Canis lupus familiaris: one gene and its partner. The protein of the gene in region 2 interacts with the protein of the main gene of each other region in a biochemical or structural test. Links are inferred from orthologs where the notes say so. Each region holds a gene or a part of one and is shown on either strand. Other genes may lie near its edges.

Region 1 (4,133 bases), on a different chromosome or scaffold from region 2:
TATAAATCTCTTATAAATACGTATGTTCACATATTTATAGCCGGTTCTCATTCATGAAATGTTTTATAAAGTCACGTTGCACACGTGAATTAGTGAATATAGAATCTTGGCTCCTAGTGAAACTACAGTTTAGATTCCTGAGAGCCTCAGGTGACATTTCTTTCAACTGATTTTCTGTCAACTGATTCTGTGTAACCTTGTCTTATGTATGGCCTTCGAATGATTTAAAGCCAGCTTTGGAGTACTGTTATATAGGTACTTTTACCAAGGTACTTGTAAAATAAGGTACAGTCTCATCAGTTATTGAAAACCTATTCTTCTATGTGACACTTTTCCCATATAACACTTATTATTTTTAAAATTCGTCTGCAAATTCTCAATCTCCAGAACCTACCTTGTAAGCCAATTTAAAGTTTTTTCACAATCTCACCTGTTGAAATGTGTGAGCCAGTCAGCACTAGCTGAGATAAATTTAACATTTTCCTAACCAGGGGTAACACAATCGTCAACGTCATTGGCCTTAAGCCTCTCACACTGTCCACTACACTGTTACTGGTCATTGCCTTATGGATCTTCAAGTTTAGCCCACCTTTTCCTTAGCTCCATTATGTATTATACAAGTTACTTTAGCACTTTCCAGAAACTGGAAATCGGACAAATTAGAAAATTTCCCTTTCTTTTTCTAGATGTACCACATCTTTGATTCATTAACATTGTAGTCACACCTAATAGTACTACAATTCATGCCTGAAATTTATTTAATGTGTACTTTCTCCTCGTAGCACATCACATTTTTCTCCTTAAAGTCCATCACAGACTTCTTGCACTAAGAACACTAGACAGCACTGCAGCACCTCAGCTGCGAATGCGTGTTTTAGGCTACTTAGATTTTTTGCTGTTCTGTGCAGGTCTGTGAAAGACTGTGAAGTACAGGAAATATGGGCTTTAAGGGCACAAATTTTAGTGAGTAGGCAAATTTGCAAACATGGAATCTACAAATAAGAATTGACTATACATGTGTAATTTTAACCCACCCACAAAATTAACCACACCTAATTTCACCCTATTTCACCCTGCCTAAGCGGGTTCAGCCCTACCTATGACCGTCCACAACCCACCCAGTACCTCTGGTAATAGGTGTCTGAGCGTCCACAGGTGGCACCTGATTTTCGAAAGACCTCACGGCGCTTCCAGCCAGGGCCCAAGGCTGGGCAATCCAGCCAGTCCTCAGCCATGGGGGCCATGGGAAGGAGCAGCGGCCTGCAACAGGGAGGGCACGGTGGAGAAAACTGAGGCTCTAGGAGAGAACATGCTGTGCTCTAGCCACACCAACAGCTGCTATTTACTAATGCCCATCCCACGCCGGGTCCCTACCACAGGCAACCCGTCAATACAGTAGAGAAAATCCCCCGTCCCACCTCATTCTTCCGTGTGCTGGGCCCAGAGGCTAGTCGTTCCTCCCCTTCCGGACCTGGCAGCCCCACTTTTAACTTAACAGGCCGTATCCTCAACCCAAAGCTCCTCATTCCTTACTCCATGTCCTGATCCCCACCTCTTCCTCATCTTCAGCCTGAGACCCCATCCCTTCTCCCCTCTGCCAACCTAGGAACCTGTCATTCGTCTCAAGAGACATGGTCTTTGACCTACTGGTGTTGACACCTCCCCTGAGGGTTCACCCTGAACCATCCATACTCCCCATTATCAGTCCGAGAGGCCCCATCCCGCTCATCCTCAGCCAAGGTCCCAGGACTGTCCCTCGGTGCCCTAACCTCGCATTCACTCCCCTGGTTGGCCCAGGAGTGCCCAACTCCTCTCAGTCCTGTAGCTCTCCCATTCCTTCCCTCCTTCCCTTTCTGATGTCCTCTTGTCATGCCACTGCCTCAGGTTCCTGTGTCCTCTGCCCGAGAGCCCCAGCTTCTCCCCTCTTTATCCTCTCATTCCTTCTGTTCCTCAGCCTGAACGCTGCCTCCTCCTTTTGCCTGTAAGCGTCTTGAGCCACAAGTCTTCACCGACCTCCATCCCCAGACCTTATTCATCTCGTCTTCAGCAGTTTCTTCACTCCTCCCCGTCGGTGTCCCTTGCTCTCCCGTCCGCTGACACTCTCAGAGACCCTGATTCCCCCCCCCCAGCCCTCTGAAGCCACCCCCCAATCCTCCCTGTTCGTGTCCCAGGATCGTGCCATCCCCACCTCGGCCTTCAGAAGCCCTATTCCTTCTCCTCCTCCATCTGAGCCCCCGTCGCTCCTCTTCGGCATCCGAGTGCCCCTGTTTTTTCCCGTCACCAACCTGAGGGCCCCTCTGTCTCCCTCTCAGCGTTCTAAACCCCCACTTCTCACTCCTTAACCCCGAAGGCACCGAGATCGCCCCTCGGCGTTCGGATCCTTCTCCGCTCCTCTCCGTCCTCGTCCAGACTCCCGACACGTCCACCTACCGGCACACTGAGCCCCATTCCTCCTCGTCCTCAGCCAAAACCTCCCCGTTCCTCCCCGTCAGTATTCCCACGCCGCCATTCCTCCCACTCATCGGCCTGAGGGCCCTTCATTCCTCTCCGTCAGCGTTCGGAGCCTCAATGCTTCCCTCCCCGACGCCTGAGCGCTCTCCACTTCCACCCCCACAACTGTCTCACCAGCTTGGCACCGGGCCGGTAGCTTCCGCCGCTCTAGGTCCGTGGACCCATGCCGAGGGTCCCGCCTGTGACTCCCGCCTTGCCCTGCTCTTCTTCCTCCTCCGCAGACGCTTCCTCTGAAGCGGTAGCTGTCGCTGCCGCGGCCGTTCGTTGCTCCCGGAACCGGAAACCCGCTGCCCGCCTCTAGGGCCCCGCCCCCCAGACGACGCCTGCGCGCTAATGCCCCTCCCGCGCTTGCCCTTAGTGGGGAGGGCCCCACGCCTGCGCGCTTAGTCTCACGGCGGCGCGCGCCTCTGGCCCGGGCCCTACTGCGCCTGCGCCCTGACAGCCGGCCTCAGCTGCACCGCCCCCTCTTCTCCCCTCCCCACCCGGAGTCGTTCAGCCCCCGGCGCCTCGCTCCGCCAACCGGCACTTTCTCCCCACTCCGCCCACTTGGCTTGCGCCTGCGCTCTCCCAACCGAAGGGGGCGTGGAGGAGGAGGGGGCGCTACGCTCTTTGGCCGTCTCCACCCGGGGTAGTTGGAGGGGGGGCGCCGGAGGTCTCCTCTCATCTCTCGCCCCCATCTCGCTCCCATCTCGCTGTGCTGTGCGGGCCCCTGAAACATCTCCCCCAGAACTCGTGTGTCCCGTCCTCTCCGCCCCGCGAGCAGTTGCAGGAGCGCGCGGGGAGGAGCGCACCGCAAGCCGACCCCAGCTCCCTCCCTCCGCGAGAACGGGCGAAGGGGGCGGTGCCGCGCTGCAGGTAAACAGAAGGGCCGTGCCACCGAGAAGGGCGTGCGCGCCCTAGAGAGGCTGCGCTGTGGGCCCCGCTGGGCCCCGCGACCGGGCGGAGGGGGCTCTCGGACTTCTGTTACACACGTGCCCGGAAAGGGGTTTGTGGGGCAACGAGAGACCTTGTGGCCGTCAGCGAATACGTGTCTAATCTGGAGGATGTCGATGCTGACACGGGGGTGTCACGGGGGAAATCAGCCACATAATGAAATAGCGCCAACTGTATACCCGTTGTTTCAAGATGAAATGCTGAGGATGTACGTCATTGGGCTCTCCCTTAGTAAGTCATAGTCCGCTGCCCAAGGGAGCTCCTGCAGAGCAGAGGGTGGTTGCCAACTGCATACTCGAAGCTCTATACTGCAACTCCTCCTGAATACAGGTGTGCCTCAGCCCTTTCACCCAGGGGGTTTGGGAGTGCAGATGCAGCTGGATAAAGTGGAAACCAGTAGTAATCTCTGTTGGTTCTTCAAAATTTTATTAACAAAACCAGGGAGAGGTGAGGCAACAGTGAGCAAACTCCACAGTCCCACCCAGGCACAGAGAATGGAGAGACAGAGGGACAGACAAGGACAGAAGAAAATCCTGAGACCCTCTGATAACGGCATCTGGGTAGTCAAATGGTGGATGGGCACAGGGAGAAACTCAGGGACCATTGGAGAAACAGATGAATGGCAGAACAGACAAACGGGGAATTCGGGGCAGCTCCCGGGCCTGGAATGCAGGGCGTGAGGACTTCTG
Region 2 (4,117 bases):
TTTTGAAGAATTAATGTGGCTTGGTTAAGCATAATATATATATATATTTTTATCTAATGTAGTACTTAAGTCTTTACATACATTATACAGTTTGCCCCTTGGAGAATATGTAAGGATCTTTTAAGAAGCTGAGTTAGTTAATTGAATTTAAAATAAAAAACGTTGAGTTACGTTTGTCTTATTTTTGAATTTTATTATGTTAAATTTTAAATATATACAGAAATAGAATGAAATAACTCCATGTGCCCATCACTCAGCTTGAACAGTTATCAATTTGTGCTAATCTCCTTTAAGCTGTATGCCTACCACTTTCCTATACCCTTAATGAATTTTAGTAAATATCTATATCATGTGATGGATAGACTCAAAATCACATAGGGCAGCTAGATCTTAAGAAGGGTAAACCAAGGAAAAAAGGAGAAGGTAGATTTCTTAGATGATATGAGCTACCAAGCAAACAGTTCCTTTCTGTGCTCTTGTCTTTCTCTTCTCTTGATGGGTAGGTTACTTCCAAGACCAGATATGTTGGGATCTCTCTCAAATTTGTCTTGTTAGTATACTCACTTTCATATTGAATTTTAGTCTACTGTTCTCCCTTTTTGGTTTTTATCCCCCGGGGTGCCTACATTCCTTGTTTTCCCCTCATATTAAAATGTTGGGAGGTCTGAAGCAGGGAATGAAATTTAATTTGCCCTGGGACCAAACACTCACCTGGAGTTATCTTTGTGGCTATCTGGACTACAAAAGCGAAGAAATTATTTTATCTTTAGGGCAGATTCCTCAAAATAAGCTTTGTTGCCAGTATAGCTGTAATGACTCTAGTCTCTTCCCTGCAGTTATTTAAAATTATTGTCAAGATTCAAAAATTTGACTGCAAGCTTTAACCATTCTGCTAGATTTCAGTACTTGGGGGCTTAGACTCTGTGGTGGAAAAAAAATCTTTAATTAGCCTTCTATAAGTAGAAATTGACTATCAGGATTTAAACAATTTAATTTTCCAGAAACTATAAAAATTGGCACTCTTTTCATGATAAAAGTACTATAAAAGACAAAAAAAAAAGGCCTTGAGCAGACTTTTTTTTTTTTTTTTTTTTTCTGGACTGAAATGGAGGCTTTCTTTCAAGCGTATTCCCTGATGTTTGCTGTGTGTGATTTGGCTCTATCTCTGTAACTGCTAATATGTGGCATGGATTTCAGGCTGTCTGGGATCTGGATGTGCCCAAAGTCTGTATTGCAAGTCCGGATTCACAGGCATTGTGTTACAAAACTGGCTTGCTGCCTTCTCTGTTTTCTGTGTCCTAGGCAGCTGCATTGTTTGTTGCAGTATATGCATTAGCTGTTGTCAGTGTTCAGTTTCCTGCAGACTGACAAAGTGGGAGGGGCTTTGTTTGATACATAGCTGAGTTTTCACTGTGTGAGTTCTTGAGTGCACATTGCAGCCATCTTAATTACACTTTAGTGCAACTGAGACAGTGCAGCTGTCTCAAAATGGCTGCTGACCTGGTCTTTGTAGCTGCTTAGGCAGCAACTATGCCAGTGAGGAGACTTGGCACATGCATCAGGACCAGAGGTAAGAACCAATTACTCTTTATCTTTGACCATTTTAATTAAAGAATACTTGAATTTTACTGAGTTTACATAGCAAGGTGAACTTAGAGCTTGCTTGCTAGGAAGTTGAAATGTTTGCTTTAAGCTTCTTTTAGGGAAACAGTACTTAGGATGGTGAGGTCAAAGGTTAAATTCCTGTAATTTCTCACCATTTTATGTTCTGTCATTGTCAGAACATTTGATCACCACAATAGTGTTTTCTGACCTTAAATAACTTAATATTTTTTTTGTGTTGGATATTTTAGTTTGTTTGATATATTTTTTTTTTTTTTTTGTAGAAATTGAAAACAATGTATTTGCTGAATAGATTTTTTTTGGGAAAGAAGCCATAAATAAGCCTTGTTTCGCATGAAGAGTGAGATTTCTGTGTGTGTGTGTGTGTGTGTGTGTGTGTGTGTGTGTGTTGGAGCTATTGTTTGGTAGCTTTCTGGGAAGAATGTTAATTCTCTGAATATAAGTCATAGCACAGAAAGAAAAAAAAATTTTAACAGATTTTTTTTGTACTCTGGGTTCTAATTCTTTCTCATTATGCTGCCTCCTCTTGGCCATTTAATTCTTTCACATTTTTAAGGGTCCTAACTTTTTATTCTAATTACTTTTTCCTTAAATTGTCATTCAGATTTTTTTTAAATAATAAATTTATTTTTCTGTCATTCAGATTTTGAATTAGAAACAAGTTCATATGTAGGTCTGCATACTCCTTTTCTTTCTAGCTAATGTATTCTAGTGCAAGAGAGCTTAAATAAATACTCAGTTGTTTTAGGTTAATATTAATTGTTGATATCCACTTTAGTCTTAGTTAAAACCTGTGGTATATTTAAAAATAATGTAATTCAATGATTTTGTAAATTTAGTTTCACAGTTTTCAAAAGACTTTAACATTCTTCTGAAGTGGAAACATTTATTGAGATATGGTAAGTCAATAGTGACCCAGAGGGTAAGAAGAATGAAATTTTTATTTACATAATATTTCAGATAGCAGAAATTTTAAACTCTAGTGTTTAAATTGTGGTACTTACTAAAATTTTTAAATAAATGGTATAGTACAATTCTTTAGTTTTGTCAAGGGATATATGAATATATCCCTGACTAATATGACATAGAACAGTAAGTTTTGAACTTTCTAAGTACTGCAACTTTAGAAAACAACTTCTTGCACATTAAATTCTTGTGATTGACCCCTGTATTTAAAAGTGATACATATGATATTTTATTGGTTTGTATTTATTTTCCAATTTAAAAGTATAGTATTACTCTAAGTTTATTTTATAAAAGAACAATTAGGCTTTTACAATGAAAACAAAAGTTTGAAACCAGATTATTTATCACAATTATAATCTTTCATTAGTGTCAGGAGGTTGCTTATTTATTAGGTTGCTTATTTGTAGAACTTTAGTTGCTAAGAGACTGTAGAATTCATTTTGAGAAGTATTCTAGAACCTATATTCTGTATGTTCTTTTTAAATTTCATGACGGTAAAATATAAGATCTATATTTACACAAGTTAACAGTTTGAAATTGCTGTCTTGCCACAAAATTGCATTTATATTTTTTCTTTTTTTGACAAATTTTTTTCTTAATCATTGGTCATTTATTCTTTGGCTTCAAATATATTTGGGGTCACTGATTCAGTTTCATCAACAAATTTAGTATATTTCACTTCATTTACTTACTACTCTTTGAAATTGTTAGGAGTCTTTTATGTGATATAATAGATTATAATAATATGAACATTACATTATATAAATCCAGTAATATGAGGTTGCCCCCAAAAGAATAGAACAACAAATTTAGTGTTGTGAGAGAGATTTTATCCATCATGCCTTTCAGTAAGGTTTTGCCCTAGAGTGAATATGACATAGGAAGTGAATGTGCTATGTCCTTAATCATGGTCATTTTCATACCTCTCATAGTTTGAACCGCTCACTGTATTCAGATATTTTATACAATTCAAGCCAGATATTCAGTTTGTTCTTCATTACTGGAGAAAAACTGGTTAGGTTGAAATTATCAAAGCAGTTTATGTTGATCTTCAAAGTAGGACCTTGGGGAAATTTTAATGATCTGCTCTTTTTGCCTTCTATCCTGGATTATAAAATTTACCTTCAACGTCCACAAGATGACTCCATTGATTATTGCTTATACATGGGAAAATACAAAGTGGTTACTTAGGTTATTATTGCTAATTCTTTCAGGGCTGTGTTGCATTTTTGCAACTATAAGCATAAACTAGACCTCACTGGGATTATTACTTTTGGGACTGATGACAGTTTTCAATTTGTCTGTGCTGAATTCCAGATTAGCTATTAGGCTGCATAATTGAAGGCATAATAAATCTGGGAGCTGGATAATTAAGGTTTAATGTTACTGTTTTGTCGCTATTTGTACTCCCTATTTGTCCTTTTTTTCTGAGCCATTTCTTTAAGCATGAACCTTAAAGAAAATGTTGAAGTTAGTGGAGAGAAACCAACTGAGTTCAAATCTAAATTTGAATTGCTTTTACTACTTC

Evidence for each region.
Region 1: the proteins of ATF7IP (region 2) and MBD1 form a complex in vitro, tested with the Homo sapiens proteins (2 studies listed by BioGRID). The link is inferred for Canis lupus familiaris from reciprocal best matches to the Homo sapiens genes ATF7IP and MBD1.

Annotation. Positions count from the first base shown.
Region 1 is NC_049228.1:78,689,941-78,694,073, reverse strand, and holds the start of MBD1 (methyl-CpG-binding domain protein 1), read right to left. Parts: upstream 2,801-4,133; 5' UTR 2,626-2,800; intron 1,261-2,625; 5' UTR 1,245-1,260; coding exon 1,126-1,244; intron 1-1,125. UniProt on the Homo sapiens protein: Transcriptional repressor that binds CpG islands in promoters where the DNA is methylated at position 5 of cytosine within CpG dinucleotides. Binding is abolished by the presence of 7-mG that is produced by DNA damage by methylmethanesulfonate (MMS).
Region 2 is NC_049248.1:14,001,673-14,005,789, forward strand, and holds the start of ATF7IP (activating transcription factor 7-interacting protein 1), read left to right. Parts: upstream 1-1,316; 5' UTR 1,317-1,553; coding exon 1,554-1,570; intron 1,571-2,462; exon of another isoform or gene 2,463-2,522; intron 2,523-4,117. UniProt on the Homo sapiens protein: Recruiter that couples transcriptional factors to general transcription apparatus and thereby modulates transcription regulation and chromatin formation. Can both act as an activator or a repressor depending on the context.